Tamandua tetradactyla: one gene and its partner. The protein of the gene in region 2 purifies or fractionates together with the protein of the main gene of each other region. This does not show direct contact. Links are inferred from orthologs where the notes say so. Each region holds a gene or a part of one and is shown on either strand. Other genes may lie near its edges.

Region 1 (7,110 bases), on a different chromosome or scaffold from region 2:
GGTTTTGAGGTACCAGGAACTATTATTCTAGCACTTTACCTGTAATCATTCATCTAATTCTCACAACATGCTTATGGGGCAAATAATATTCTCCCCCATATTACACATGAGAAAATTGAGGCACAGAGAGGTTCAATAACTTGCCCAAGTTAACACGGATTAAAATCTAAACCCTTAACCAAGGCTTAGAACTCCCCACCCTCAGGTCTTTGAGTGGCTGCCTCTGTCTTATCTGTTCGGTTTCAGTACAAATGTCACCTCCTCGGAGAGTACTTCCTTGGTTATTCGATTTAAAGTACATCCTCCTCTTTCATTGCTTTACATCACTTGTTGTTTTATGAAATTATCTTATTTATTCACTTTCCTACATACTTGCTTATATCTGGCACAGGATGTGTAGTAGCTCAACAAACATTTGCTAAGATAAATGGAGGGAGAGAGGGAAAGATAGGGTTCCCTGAGCTCCTTCAATAGCACCCCCATTCCACAATGAGAATGAGAACAGTGTCGTAGGAGAAGTGGGAATGGAGGGCGGAAGGAAGGGTGATGAAGAGAGAGCTTGGAAAGGCACTAAGAGGATGGAACCTGCCAAGGTGCAATCAGGCCAGACCCCACACTCATCCAGGAGAGTGCTTCCCTGATTAGGGTTGCCAGACTGAGCAAATAAAAATACAAGGAGATATTTTTTTTTAGCCTTTTTTTGGGGGGAAGAGTGCATGGTTCGGAAATCAAACCCGGGTCTCCCGCATGGAAGGTGGGTATTCTAACCACTGAACTACCCGTTCACCCTGGGAGATTTTAAAAAATATACAAATATTAATCCCACGAATTATTTGGGACATTCTTATACTAGAAAAAAAATGATCTGGTTGCTTATCAGGAATTGTAATTTACCTGGGTGTTATGTATTTTACCTGGCAGCCCTATCCCTGATGCTCACTGTGTGCTAAGTTCCATGGGAGATTCCACTGAGCACTCACCTGCTTTTTTTTTTTATATATACGGAACATTTTGTTTCTAACTCCTGAATAAGTAAGTGCAACCTCTTTATTGTTCTAACTGAAAAAGAAAGTCTGTGGAAACAGAAGCTTGTTACAGGAGAATGGATCCCGGGAGTGGATAATTGCCCAGTGAGGAGAGGTTAAGACAAGTGCCTTGTGCTGAGCTCAAAGAAGTCTTTCAGAACCTTCTTATTCCTTCTCCGGTGGAGAGGGTTATCTATCTATCACTCTGGGGCAGCTGAAGAGGGCAGGAAGACAGTGGCTCAGTCTGGGAGGAAAAGATTTATGGGACTGTGGGCATATCTGGTGAATCGTTCATTCATTCCGACTGTCCAAGCAGCCGTGGCAGGAATGCTCAGATGAATGACACCAGGCACAGTTCTGGAGGCTCTTTGGAAGTCAGAGCAGGGAAGATGGCTTTGGAAATCATTACCACCAAGTGACGCATGCTTCCAAATCGGTTTTCATGGCTCGATGGAAAGAGTGCATGTCTTCCTCCTTACCTGTTCTTTCTTTCTCTCTCTCTCTCTCTCTCTCTCTCTCTCTCTCTCTCTCTCTCTCTCGCCTTTCTTGCCTTCTTCTATCCTTTTCTATCCTTCCCTCTCACCTGTCCTCCTACCTTTTCCCATCTCTTCTCTCTCTTCTCTCTCCCTCTCTCACCTTCTGCAACTTCTCTCTCCAAACCCACCCCACTACCCGCTGTATCCCAAACCAGCCAACATCTTTCCACGCAGCCTAGAGTTCATTTGCATGCTCTTTTCCGATTGGCTGAGACAAATTCACTGCCACACCTCCTCATCCCCTGCCCCCTCCAGGTTCCTTCCTGTTGGAGCCCCAGGAGGTCCAAGGTCTTGGGATCCCCAGGCTCAGTCCTGCCCTGCAGCCCTGTCTACTCAGTTATTCTTCAATCAAGTGTCCATTCTGGTTTGAGATTAAAAGAGCTAGGTTCAAGGCTGGGCTCTGCCACTGACGAAGCTGTGTGATCTTGAATGATTCCCTTTGCCTCTCTGAGACTCAGTTCCTAGGTCTATAATATGGAAATAATCCTCATGAAGAAGTCCTTATGAGAATATTTTTGTAATGGTTAATGTGAACCCCCACGTCAGACTGCCTGGGTTCAAATCTCTCCTCTTCCACTCCCCAGAAGGGTGTCCTGGTTACCTCCATTTCCTCATTTTGTTGGAGAGAGTCTTAAATGTCAGTATATTTAAAAACACTTAAAATAGCTTCTTGCCTACAGGGCCTAATAATGTCAACTTTATTGTAATGCATGTTAAAGTCTTTTGTCCAAATGCTGCTGATGACATTATCATTGCCCCATGAACATTTGGAGGTAGGCTGTTAAAAACTCACTGGAGTATAGGTTCCTTATGAAGAAAGCCCAAAGGAGTGAAGCCAAGGTTTATCCTTTTGAGCCTCTATATTCTGGACTGTAAAATGGCAATAACAACCTCACCTCTGCCTACTCCACAGGAAAGTAGTAGAGTCTGGCCATGGTAAGCTCTTAAAATGTATTTGTTGAAAGAAGGAATGCATGGACCACATGAGGTGACAGTGGCAAGCTGCAGAGTCTTGTCCTTAGCTCGGCCCTGAACGATGTGTCTGTGCTGATTTGCTATCCTCCAGGCATGACGCAACGGAGGCCTAACTAAGGTAGTGTATGAAGGCAGAGCTGAGCACGCTGATGATGCTAAGTTGGTGAGCTGGTCAGGGCTTTGCATTTGGATAAAGGTGCTCTCAAACACTATTATGAGAGTGTAAATATATTAGTGTAGTCTTTTTGGACAATCATTTAGCAGTAGCTATCACAATTTTAAAAGAACACACAATTGTTCTACTAGTTCTATTTTTAGAAAACCATCCCCCAGATAGCTTTCCCCAAGTGTGCCAAGATTATATAGAGGAATGCATTCATTGCAGTTCTTTGTAGCAGTGAAAAACTGGAAACAACCTAAATGTCCCTCAATATAAGAGTAGTTAGGTAAATTTTGGTGCGTTGATATTATGGACTATGCAACCATTAAAAAGAATGAGGCAAATCTATATGTACTAACATGGAGAAATCGCAAGATGCATGATGAAGTAAACAAGTTAACAGAGTTATGCTTTTAATCTAACATTTGTTAGGGAGAGTATCAATGTTTGTACCTGCATAGGAGATATCTGGAGGGCTATATGCCAACTTTTAGTAGGGTTATCTTTTAAGAGAAGGAAGAACTTCTAAATCAAAATTTTGATTTGAATGGAAGAGCGAGCCCCACCTTCAAAGTTCAGAGGTCAGATTTGGAGTCGTCATCCCAAATCTGTGTGTGACTCAAGGAAACTTCCGTTGTTCTTTTGAACTGTAGCTCTGTCTTGTGTGAACTGATAATGATAACACGACCTTCCAGTGCTGTGATAGCGGTGAAAAGAAATAATGGATATGAAAACCCCTGAGCAGACATAGATTCTCATAGCTATCACGGAGAACGACCCGAAGCAAGAGGGATGAGCTTAGCCCTTGAAAGATTTGGGAAGGCTTGGATTTGGCTTATTACGGTTTCTAGAAGCCCTTTCCCAGCGTTCAATGGACATTCATTTATCAAGGCTCTGGGACTCTGTGCTTTTTTTTTTTTTGAATTTTAAAAATTTTAATACAGTTCAAATCAGCATGTCTCGTTCATTTCAACTCCTTCACCGCCAAACCTGGGGGCAGGGATTGCTTCAGTTTCTCTGCCTTCTCTTTGTCTGTGATGACCAAGGTATAAGGGTACCTGCTGCATCGAACTTTAAATTTCACATTATCCTTATTTTTCTTGATCTTGACAGATTTGGCATCTTTTCGCCTGGCTGTGAGCAGGAAGTCCTTGATTTCCTCAATTTTCCGAGGCATGGTGACGAGGCGCGCAGGAAGGCGGGCGGGACCGGCACAGCCCAAGATAAGAAGCAAGAACCGGATTCTGTGCTTTTAAACGACTCACCTTTTTCTATCATAAGCTACCAAATGAGCCTGGCGCATGCGCAGTGCGAGTACCTTGAACTGCCCTCCGCCCACGTACTACAACTCCCGGCAGGCTCCGCGCACCCCTCAGGCGTGTCGCAGGCTGATGACGTAGCGCAGTAGCGCGGGGAATTTCGAGCGGTAGTGCATCGCCGGAGGCCCTTGGGCGGCTGGCCCCCACACTCCTCTGGAGCTACCATGGACAGCTTGGCCGAGCCCCGGTGGCCTTCGGGCCTGGCAGTTATGAAGGTAGATGCTCGGAGAGGGAGGAAGCGCCCGGGGGTCAGCAGGAGGCCGGGTCCGCCTTGAGGGGAAAGGAGGAGGCGGCAAGCCCCGCTTGGGTTCCCCGCCCTGCCCGCCTCTTATTGCCCGCGAACCCTAAGGCCCCAGTTTCTACTGAGAAGCGGCGGGGAAAGGCCTCGGTTCCTTACGGTGAACTGAGGTCGGCCGTCGTATGGAACTGGGTATTTTGCGGTTCTTCCTCAACAGTAACAGTAACATCGAGTAAGATACTCTGAACAGTGGCGATGACAGTGACAGCTTACGCTTTTTGAGGGCTTACTCTGTGCCAAGCACTATTTAAGAGCTAGCAATACGTTAATTGAGAATTCCCAGAGTGACACCGGGCATGCTTTTCAATGGGCACTACACCAAATAGCATATATTTAATCACTGGCGAAGCAGGTAGTCTCCTTTGCACTCTGATTTCTTCTGATAATTCTCAGGAGGCTTAGTGCTGGTTTGTTCTAACGTCTCCTAACTCCTATCTAACAATTGTTCATCTTTCTTCTGTTTTAAAGAGATCAGGACTCAGGCTCAGCTCCAGCCTTTAACAAATCACTTTTATTTCGTTGGTTGCATTTCCTTTTTTAGTTGTTCTATGGTTATATCTCTAGGAAAGACCATCTTTTTGCTCCTGTTCATTAATTTTCTCATTTATATTATGGAAATTATGGTGTCTCCCCCACTGACTGGTGAAGCTGACTTTGAGGGTCAAGTGAAGGGACTTGGGAAAGGCTAAAGTAAGTAAAAAGTTGTGTTCTTCCTGCTGTCAGCAGAAACATTTGCAGTGTCTGGGGACTTGAGATATCATCACTGTACAGATGGTGAAGACCTGATGTTGTGGAAGGATCTAGGAAAGTTGTTTTGAAGTTGTAGTGGCCTTAGCACCAAGATCCACTGGAGAAGGGCATAGATTTTGAGTTCCAATTGTCTGGTTAAATCTGGACTCTCCCTTATATTATTAACTAGGTGAGCTTGAGTTATTTAACCTCTCTGAGCCTCAGTTTCTTCAAGTATAAACTGGAGACAAAAATAGCCATTAAAAGAGTTGAGAAATGTGGGTAAGGATCCTATCTAGTTTGTTCACTGTACTTTTAACACAGTGCCTGGCCCATGGTGGGTGCTCAACAGTTATTTGTTGACTGCTCGAAGGTGTCTAGTATGTACTTGTGCTAAGCATTCAGTTAATATATCTTTATTATTATTATGAGTGCTTAACGTGTGTTCTATGTCTTTCCTTCTTTCCCCCTTTTATTTGTTGTAAAGATTGAATTAGAGAAGTGAGCGTTCTGTAACCTGTAACTCTACCTGCTTTGTAGATTTGAACATATTTTATGCTTTCTCACAACTCCACATTATTCTTTACAGGTAGGTTTCTTGTCTTCTCTGGCTTTTCACAGCAAGAATATAGAGTTTAGCAGCAGAGTGTTCAATTATGGGCTTGACTGAGCTCAAATTTAGCTCTCATTAGAATCATGGAATCTTAAGCCAGTCCCCTCCAGTATTTTAATTCCTATTATAATGTATCTGCCAATTTCTCATCTGATTTTTGCTTGAACTCCTCCAGGGGCAAAAAACTAGTTGCTCCCAGAGGCAGCCCTGATCGTTTGAAGTTCTTTCTTATATTAAATAGAAATCTGACTCTGAACCCATGATTCCTAACCTAACCTGGAATCTGTGAAAAGAATTTGATATCTGGAAATACTTCTAAAATTCTTGTGCATAGATATATTTCTTTCCTAGGAGAGAGTCCATAATTTTCAAAGGAATCTGCGATCCTCCCCCCCAAACTTAAGAACCTTTTTGCTTGAATTATTAAGTCATTTTCACCTGATTCCTACTTTCTCTTTCTTCTTTCTCTAAGCTAAAGAAATCCTGGGACATCCACTGACCACTCTCTGTTTAGGCTTTTTTTTTCTTGCAGCACATATGATATACATGCTCCTGTCTAGAAGTGGCATGATTGGACATTTGTACAAAAATACCACAGCTCCTCTGATGTGTTGTCACCGTCTACACATCTTGTTTGGCAGTTCTGTCAGAACCGGTCCTCCAGAAGAGGATGGTCATGTAGAATAAAGATTCACAGACTAGATGCTGGACTCTTTCTTCTGGTCCTGCCTCTACTCTTAATATGAAGAGCAGTAAGCCTCTAGCTTTTTGCGTCTGTGGCAGCTTGGCATGCATAAGAATGGAAGATTTAGGCATTTTTATGTTTATTTCTCTGATTTTACTGTAAGAAAAATTTACTGTTATTGACAGATTATCAATGTAACATGTGTACTTAGTAGAAAAAATTTAAAATTCAGAGAAAGGTAAAGAAGAAAATGGAATTTACTCATAATCCCACCATCCAGAGATAACCACTGTTAAATGTTTTGTCTTACTTCCCTTCAGTTTTTCTTGTGTGTGCTTATGTACACAGATGCACCAATGTGCATTTAAAATTATGAATCACTTTGGAGCCAGTTCCTTGGGCTTTATCCAACCACTTATTAGTTCATCTGTAATACTAGGAAACTGAAACAACAAACTTCATTTATAGAGATAAATGACAGTATTATTATTTTGCATTATTGTGGTCAATTTTTTTCTCTGCTTTTGTTTGTTTCCATTAAAGTGTGAACATTTTCATATGGCAATAATTATTCTTTGAAAGCATGATTTTTTAAATGGATATCTAGTGTTTCATCATTTAGATTATTAGTATCAGGGTGCTTTTGTTTATCTTTTTAAAATCTTAAGTAGTACACTTACATGATTCAAAAAATATATAAAATAAAAAGTAAAAGTAAAAGTCTTCCTCTCACTCATGTCTAGTTCCCACTCCCCCACCATTATTTCTTT
Region 2 (7,537 bases):
TGTCAAAGCTTAAAGCTTGAGGTTAGTAGTGGTAGAGAATGACTCTGTAAAGGCAGGTTAGAGCCAGATAAAGATAGGTGGGTCGTGATAGATGTGTTGAATTCTGGGAAGAGCATTGCAAAGGTGTGAGATCAAATGAATTAGCTCTAACAGACTCTCTATAGAGAGTTCCAGGATAGTGGGGTTAATGTGAGGGGCAGATTGGGCAAGGGATGTAAGCTCTTTCTAGCTTTTTTTCATCCTTCTCCCTTCCTCTCCCCCATTTCTCACCCACAGTCCCTACATTACTGAGGGCAGGGCAGGACCCCTGAAAGGGGTCAGCTGGAGTGGCCAAAGGAAGTCTTTCTCCCCCACCCCCTCAAAGCAGCTTCGGCTGCTCAGTGCCACGGGTGGGCATCACCAATACACAAAATATGAAACATGAATACAGGTTACAGCAAAGACTTTCAAATATTTTGACCACAGTTCACAACAGGAAATACATTTTACATAACTATACATGTATACCATGTTTAAAATATATATAAATAGCAGGCCACAGTGGCTCAGCAGGCAGGGTTCTCGCCTGCCATGCTGGAGAACCAGGTTCAATTCCCAGCACCTGTCCTTGTGGAAAAAAAAAAAGGAAATTAATTAAAAAAATATATATATATATAAATACCTTTTATATCATCACCACCATATATATATATATATATATATTTCAAAGAGCAGAAGTTTTTCAAAACAAGATTTACTCGTATTACTGCATGCAATGTACCATTATTTTCTATTCCATAATGGCCCATTATATCAATTTCAAAACCCTTTGATGGGTTGTTAGCCAAGTGTGAAAAAAACCTGATAACAGGCTGGCATCCCTAAAAACAATTTCCCAAGCTGTTTCCCATATTCAGACATACAAGTAATACCTTGGCCTACCACCACTGTTAAGATAACTCTAGGAGAAAATAGCATAAATACATATATTTTATTACTTTACTAATTATTTATTAATCCTTACAGTTATCTTCGATTTGGGGGAAGTGGTTCTGATTTTTCACCTATAGATATGATATAAAGTTTTCTTCTAAAATCAATGTATTTAAAATTTTAAAAGTTACTTAAAGAAAAATATTAGGTAACTAATAGTATAGGGAATGTTTAGCTATGTTAAAATTCACAGAGAAGTTATTCGTATGTCTGAAGTGTGGGAAACACTATCTTTCACCACTCTACAATAAAGTAACAATAAACTTACTTTCCTTAACCTGCTTTTGCACAGTTTTACTGGTTATTCCCAGGAAGTTTAGGTCACATGAAATGACATTACATTACATTTGGCTTTGCCCTGGTGGCCCCATTAGGCAGTTTTGAATTCAGCATCCCTTTGCAAAGTGATTTGTGTAGATCTTGACATGTGGAACTCAGCTTCACTTCTTTAGTAGATCATCTCGTAGTCCGTCTCTACCAAGCTTTCAAGTTAATTATTTCCCGTTTCCCTGAGTCTGTTCCTTACCCTGCTTCCCAGGTCACCCTCTACCCTTACTTTCACACACATACTGCAACTCGGCAGCAAATAGATTTTTGTCTCTTAGCTTGCCCTAAAGCAACCTCCAACAAGCCTTGGATTATTCCATAGCTCAGAAATCTCAGCCCAAATATATGTCACTACTATAGAGCCAGAAATTACTTTTAGAGTACCATGTTTTTAGTAAGATTATTCATAATTTACTGACCTTTTGTTCTCTCAGTCCCTGATTGCTGAGCTATAAGGTACTTCTTGATCTAATCTGCCCAAGTTGTTTTTTCTCTATGTGACTGCCTGGATCTCCGGCATCAGTTCTACTGCCACTGTTCTCAGGACTCTCCCTTTGGGTTGGACTTGCCCAGTCAACTTGATCTATTGTTCATGTAACTTTGTTTTTGTTGCTGTCCCATCCCTATCCATCAAGGCCAGAAACTGTATTCCCCCTTTTGTCTTTTAACAATTCAGGATGCTAAACTGAGCTGAGCTATACCCCATAGAAACTTCATCCATAGAAGCTAATCAATCTCTATAGTCTTTGCTTCCTCATCACCTTGCCCAGAAATCTTCCCAAATTAGCCTTTTCTGGTCATCCAGATTTAATTTCTCCAAACTATCTTCCAATCCTGGCTGAGGTTTTGTCTTAAGTCTCCAACCCAGTCTTGTATGTTTTATTCATCATTCTCTCCCCTGCACCCCAGTTTTTCATTCCCTTCTTCTCTCCTCATACACACACACCTAGACTCTTTAACGTCTTTCACCCAGTATACCGTTTCCTGGCCATCTATTTCTAGTCCACTACAAATTAATGGGTAAAAAGCTTTTACATTAGCCATGTAACACAGACACATGTGTGTGCTTGTGGTGTACATGTACAAATTTAAAGTGGGAAGAGGAATATAAACACAAAATAGACTGGTCAACAACTATCTGGAAAGAACAAAAACTCTTAGAGGCTCCCAGCTATTCTAGTTAGTATGTTGAGTATATTTCACCCTGCAACCTAAATCTGTATCATTTTCAAACATGGTTTAAATAAAAAAGAGCCGTTATTCTTACTGAGGACTTAGATAACTACTTCACAGTTAAGAAGAGATTTTTTTAAATTGCGTTTTCATTATGACTCCATCTCCATTTATTGATCAAGGGATTTCTTGCCTCACTTAACTCAATAATCTGTTGCTTGGATTAAAAAAACGTGAAAACTATTGTTTCATAGTGTGAGTACAGACTTTAAAGTGATATCTTGGAGGCTGATGATTCAACTACCATGAACCAAGGAAACAACTAATTAATCATGCAGAACATGTTTTTATGCATTACTCTTTTTATGGAACAAATATGCTATGAAATAAATTGGATTAAATTTTGTAGATGTCTTCCATTATAGAAGCAGGAACTCCCTAGTGCAGAAACAATCAACAGAAAGCACTAACAGATAAGAAATAACACATGTACAATATCCCTAATAAACAAATACATGTCATTATTCAGTCAACAGATTTTGAGCACCCATTATGTTCTATTTTATGTAACGAACAAAGCTAGGTATAATATATTCTCAGTTATTAGGAGCAGAAAAGTGCCTTTTATTTTGGTATTTCTTTTCTTGCAGCCCTACTACCTACTATGTAGGTGTAGATAGAGGCCCTCCAGAAATGGTTTTTGGATGAATGACAGACCTGTATATTCAGTTCACCTTCCATCCTCCACTTGGTCAGCCTCTTGGTCACTTTACTACTCATTAGTTCTGCCTCCTGAGAGCTTATGGGGAAGGGAAAGAGGTGAATTTCAGGTCAGTCAGGCATGCCTAGCTACAAACGCAGTTAAATCTCAGAGCAATAAACTTTAAGGACCTGTCCAAATGCTTTTGAGTCATTTAAGATTTCATACCATCCAAATGATTGAACAAGCCTGTCAACTAGAGCTCGGGTATCCTTGAGATTGATATTCTAGTTGTAATAACTATTATAACAATATTTGACCTGTCTCTGAAAGTTTTTGTAGGAAGTTAAACTCAGTGTAAGAGCCTGTCTAGAAACCAAACGAAGGGGAACTATAATTTCATGAGTATCCATTACATGAGAAATTCGAATGAGCAGTTCACATCCCTTATCTCTTTTTATGGCTTACAATTACCCAGACAAGTGAGTATTAAACCCATTTTATTATAGATATGGAAACTGAGGCTGCGAAATAATCTTAGCAATCTCTTAGCTAGTAAGGAAAACCTTAGCTAGCAGCCTCCAAAGCACAAGCCCTTTACAAAGGAGGATCGGAGACTTGGCAGCTTTTGCTAATAAATGCTGTCTACACATAACCTGAATAAGTGAAGAGTGACATCATGTTCTTTTCAAAGACCCCAAGGAAGACGGCTGTAAAGACTTCATGGATAACTCATTTCAGCAGCCGAAACTCAAAATGTTTTTGTGGAATACTGTCTTTTTTTTTCAATGATTTTCCCCCCTTCTTAATAAGAGAGGGGGGTAAGGGACGTATCGTATCACAAACACTTAACAAGTACGCTCTCAGAATGGGCAAGTCTTCAGATTGGACTGCACACTACGAAGGAAAGGCTGACAGCATTAGGGCACCCTGGCCTAAAATGCTAAAGAGGCGAGATAATGAACAGTTGGGGGTTTCTAATGCACAATTGTGTGGCACAGGAAGACCAACTGTTGGCCATCTTTCACAGACGACAGCTGCCCGGCTCGGGTTTGCCTCTGCAATCCTCGCCCTCCGCCCTCCACCAGGCGGGTGTCGCCGGCTGCTGCAGAGCCCGCGGCCACCCGAGCCTCCCCACCCCGGCTCACAGCTGAAGCCGACGCGGCCCAAACGCTGCCCCGCGCGCCCCCATGCACGTGACGGGATGGGAAGGGGCAGTTTTCCTCCTCCCCTCCTCCTTCCAGAAACTCCGCCTTCCCCTGAAAGATGCGGCTTTCTTTTGCGCCACTACCGGAATGGCTGCCGTGCCAGCCAATGAAGATGCGACGCCTGGAGTAAGACCCGCCCATCTTGGTCTTCAGGTTCCTTCCCGCTCACACGCGAGTCACTTCCGAAGAGAGAGACCCGCCATGAAGAGAGAAGGGGGTGCCGCCCACCTCTGCTCCGACAGCCTCCCCAAGATCCAGCAGCAAGACGGCAGCCACGCATCCAACTTCTCCAGCCACAGCTCATGCCGCCGTCGCCTGCGGCGCCGACATGACAAGGCGCTGCATGCTCGCTAGGCCAGGTTTCCCCTCATCCCCAGCCCCGGGGTCGTCGCCCCCGCGCTGCCATCTGAGACCCGGTAGTACCGTCTCTGCTGCAGCGGGAAAGAGAACAGAGAGACCTGGGGACAGGTACCGTGCAGAGGGCATGAGAAGGGGCCGGGTCGCGGGGACAAGGGTTTGAGGGGAGGACAGCGGCCGACCACTTTTCCAGTTCCCGCCATCCTCCGCGATCTCAGGCCTCGGCATTTCGGAGCCTGGCAAAAAACCCCGCCCCGCCTCCGCGCGGGGGTTTCTGGGAGTGCGAGTTTCTTTTTCTGTAGTTGGGAAGCAGTTCTTGGTCTAGTGGTTATAAGCCTGCGTGGCTACGGGGAATCCGCCTTAGGTAGAATGTGATTTTTATCCTTTAAGATAGCTTGGCCCGAGGCCCTACCCGCTTAATACATTATTTACTTGTTTTTTCTACATTGTAAGTTCCTGATCCCTGTGGTTTAACACTATAAACCTTTTCTGTAGTGTGGGTGAAGTTATGTAAGATGTAATGAGGGTAATCTGTCCATGAATTACGTTATAGTCCAGTATACACGGTAAATCATACTTAAAAGAACATGCAGGTTTGGAATGTGATGTGTTTTCTTTTTCAGTAACTTTACACCTCCCCAGAGGCCAATTTTTTTGTGAAGATTTCCTAGACCAACTTTCTGAGAGCTATGGAGAGTTTTATCAAATGACTTCCTAAATAAAACATGTTTAAATTCTATACGCACTTGGTACTGTCTTTTTTATTTTAAGCTTAAAAATCTCATAGCAGAAGTTTAACAGAATTATGTTCTAATATCGCAGTACAGGTCCATAATCCCTTATCTTAATTCGGAAGCTAAAAAACTATGAAAACCAAAGCTTTTCAGTAGATTTAGCACCAAATCTCATTGAGCAGCCAAACTTGACCAGAGCTAATATATAGCCGTTTATGGTCTCTATCAAGTGTGAATAGTCATAAGTTTTGCTGGAGAAATACTAATGTTTGATTGTGGGGTACAGCCCCACACCCTATTGGGGGCTTTACATAATACATCCAAAGTAAGCCCTTTGTAAAATGTGATAAATTCAGAATTCTAAAACATATTTGGTCCCAAAAGTTTCGATAAGGGTTTTTGAAGCTATTGTGAATGTTGGCTATTTGTGTTTTTAAGAATTAGTTATAAGTAATTAGTGGGCATTTCTGTGCATATGAAGTTAGGAAACTATTCCTTCTTGAAAGTTACATTCATGGTTATTTTACAGAATTTCTTGTATGTGTCACCCAAAACTCTGTAATCCTTCAAAAAGGAACTGAAATCCACTATTTTGGAAAAAGTTATTTAAAATTAATATAAAAACCTTCACCATTATCTTGCTTTGAATTAACTGCTTCGCTGACCTTTCCCATCTCTTTTTCTTCAACCAGTAACCAAAGGCTCATCCTTCACCCCTCTGCAGGCCTCTAGCATTTCTTCCTTTACTCTCTAGTAGAGTTCATTTGCCTGATATAATTTTTTTTTTTTATTTATTTTTTTGCATGGGTAGGTACCGGGAATCAAACCCGGGTCTCCGGCATGGCAGGCAAGAAGTCTGCCTGCTGAGCCACTGTGGCTCGCCCCCAATATAATTTATTTTTTGTGAGCAAATGCACAGATTCTTCCTTAGCCTGACATTCATATTCATTTCATAACCACTTAGCATTTCTACAAACATTTTGGATTCTTAGTTAACCATTACCCTTCTAATGTGGACTTCTGCATTCTTCTAATGTAGAAGCTAAACCCTCAAGGGACTTGGACTTTTACGTTTTTCCTGCACATTCCAATTTCATACTGGATGAATGTTTAGGGAATCCTCTAGTCTACTGCTTATCTTCTTTCAGGTAAAATTAGCACGAGCATAATTTACCAGGAAGTTAATTTTTTTTTTGCTTTGCATATAATAACATTTCCTTTTGTGACACAAATCAGAATACAAATTCTGATAATATGGTCTTTTCTTGCTTTGTGCCCACTTTAGGGTATGGAAATCCTTAAAGATTAAAGCAATTTGGTTTTTATTACCCTTTACTTACTAGTTAACTTCCTTCTCTCTGTTATATTTATGTTTTTCCAAGGTAATATGTTATTTTTGTAACTATCTTTAGGATATTTAAGAATATTTCTAATTAAGAATTTGACAGTAAGAAATTAAATATCCCTAAGAAATTAAGAATTTGAAACATTTATTACTTAGTTATGAAAACTCATTCCAATTTCTACTGTAATTTAGATGAACTCTTATTGTAGTCTGGAAAGAGGGAGTATAAGTTTAGTGGTTTACCTTATACCTTTTGTCCAGTACACTCCTCACGTGCCTGCCTAGACCCACCAGACCATCTATCTGCCATTCTCCCATCTACTGAATTACAGACTGTTCGAGTTTTACTCGGTTTTTATAATTTCCATTATTCATTCAGCAAACATCTATTGAATACTATTCTGTACCAAGAGCTGGAAGATATCAAGGGGTAGGGTCAGATCCCTGGCCCCAAGATCTTCCATTCTGCCAGGTTGCAATGCACTCAGTTCTAAAAAATGCTCTGGAAAAATTCCCTGGATTCACAGTTGTTTTTGTATAAATTAACTTTTGCTGGAAGTGGTGAATTATATTTTCATTTTTTATTATCATCTTAGCAAAGCATTATTGCTAGTGTCAGACCTTGATTATTTAAACCAGACAGTGAAGTCTAGCCTAGAGTCTGTAAATCTGATCAGCATTCTCTCATCTGAATTATTGAGGTTTTGATATTCGCTTATGT

What was found. The genes of interacting proteins can lie anywhere in the genome.
Region 1: the proteins of SLF2 (region 2) and RAD18 purify together in Homo sapiens (affinity purification with mass spectrometry; 3 studies listed by BioGRID and IntAct, with this or other methods). This does not show direct contact. The link is inferred for Tamandua tetradactyla from reciprocal best matches to the Homo sapiens genes SLF2 and RAD18.

What each region holds. Positions count from the first base shown.
Region 1 is NC_135335.1:40,212,093-40,219,202, forward strand, and holds the start of RAD18 (E3 ubiquitin-protein ligase RAD18), read left to right. Parts: upstream 1-4,100; 5' UTR 4,101-4,179; coding exon 4,180-4,230; intron 4,231-7,110. UniProt on the Homo sapiens protein: E3 ubiquitin-protein ligase involved in postreplication repair of UV-damaged DNA. Postreplication repair functions in gap-filling of a daughter strand on replication of damaged DNA.
Region 2 is NC_135339.1:62,474,078-62,481,614, forward strand, and holds the start of SLF2 (SMC5-SMC6 complex localization factor protein 2), read left to right. Parts: upstream 1-4,528; 5' UTR 4,529-4,708; coding exon 4,709-4,848; intron 4,849-7,537. UniProt on the Homo sapiens protein: Plays a role in the DNA damage response (DDR) pathway by regulating postreplication repair of UV-damaged DNA and genomic stability maintenance.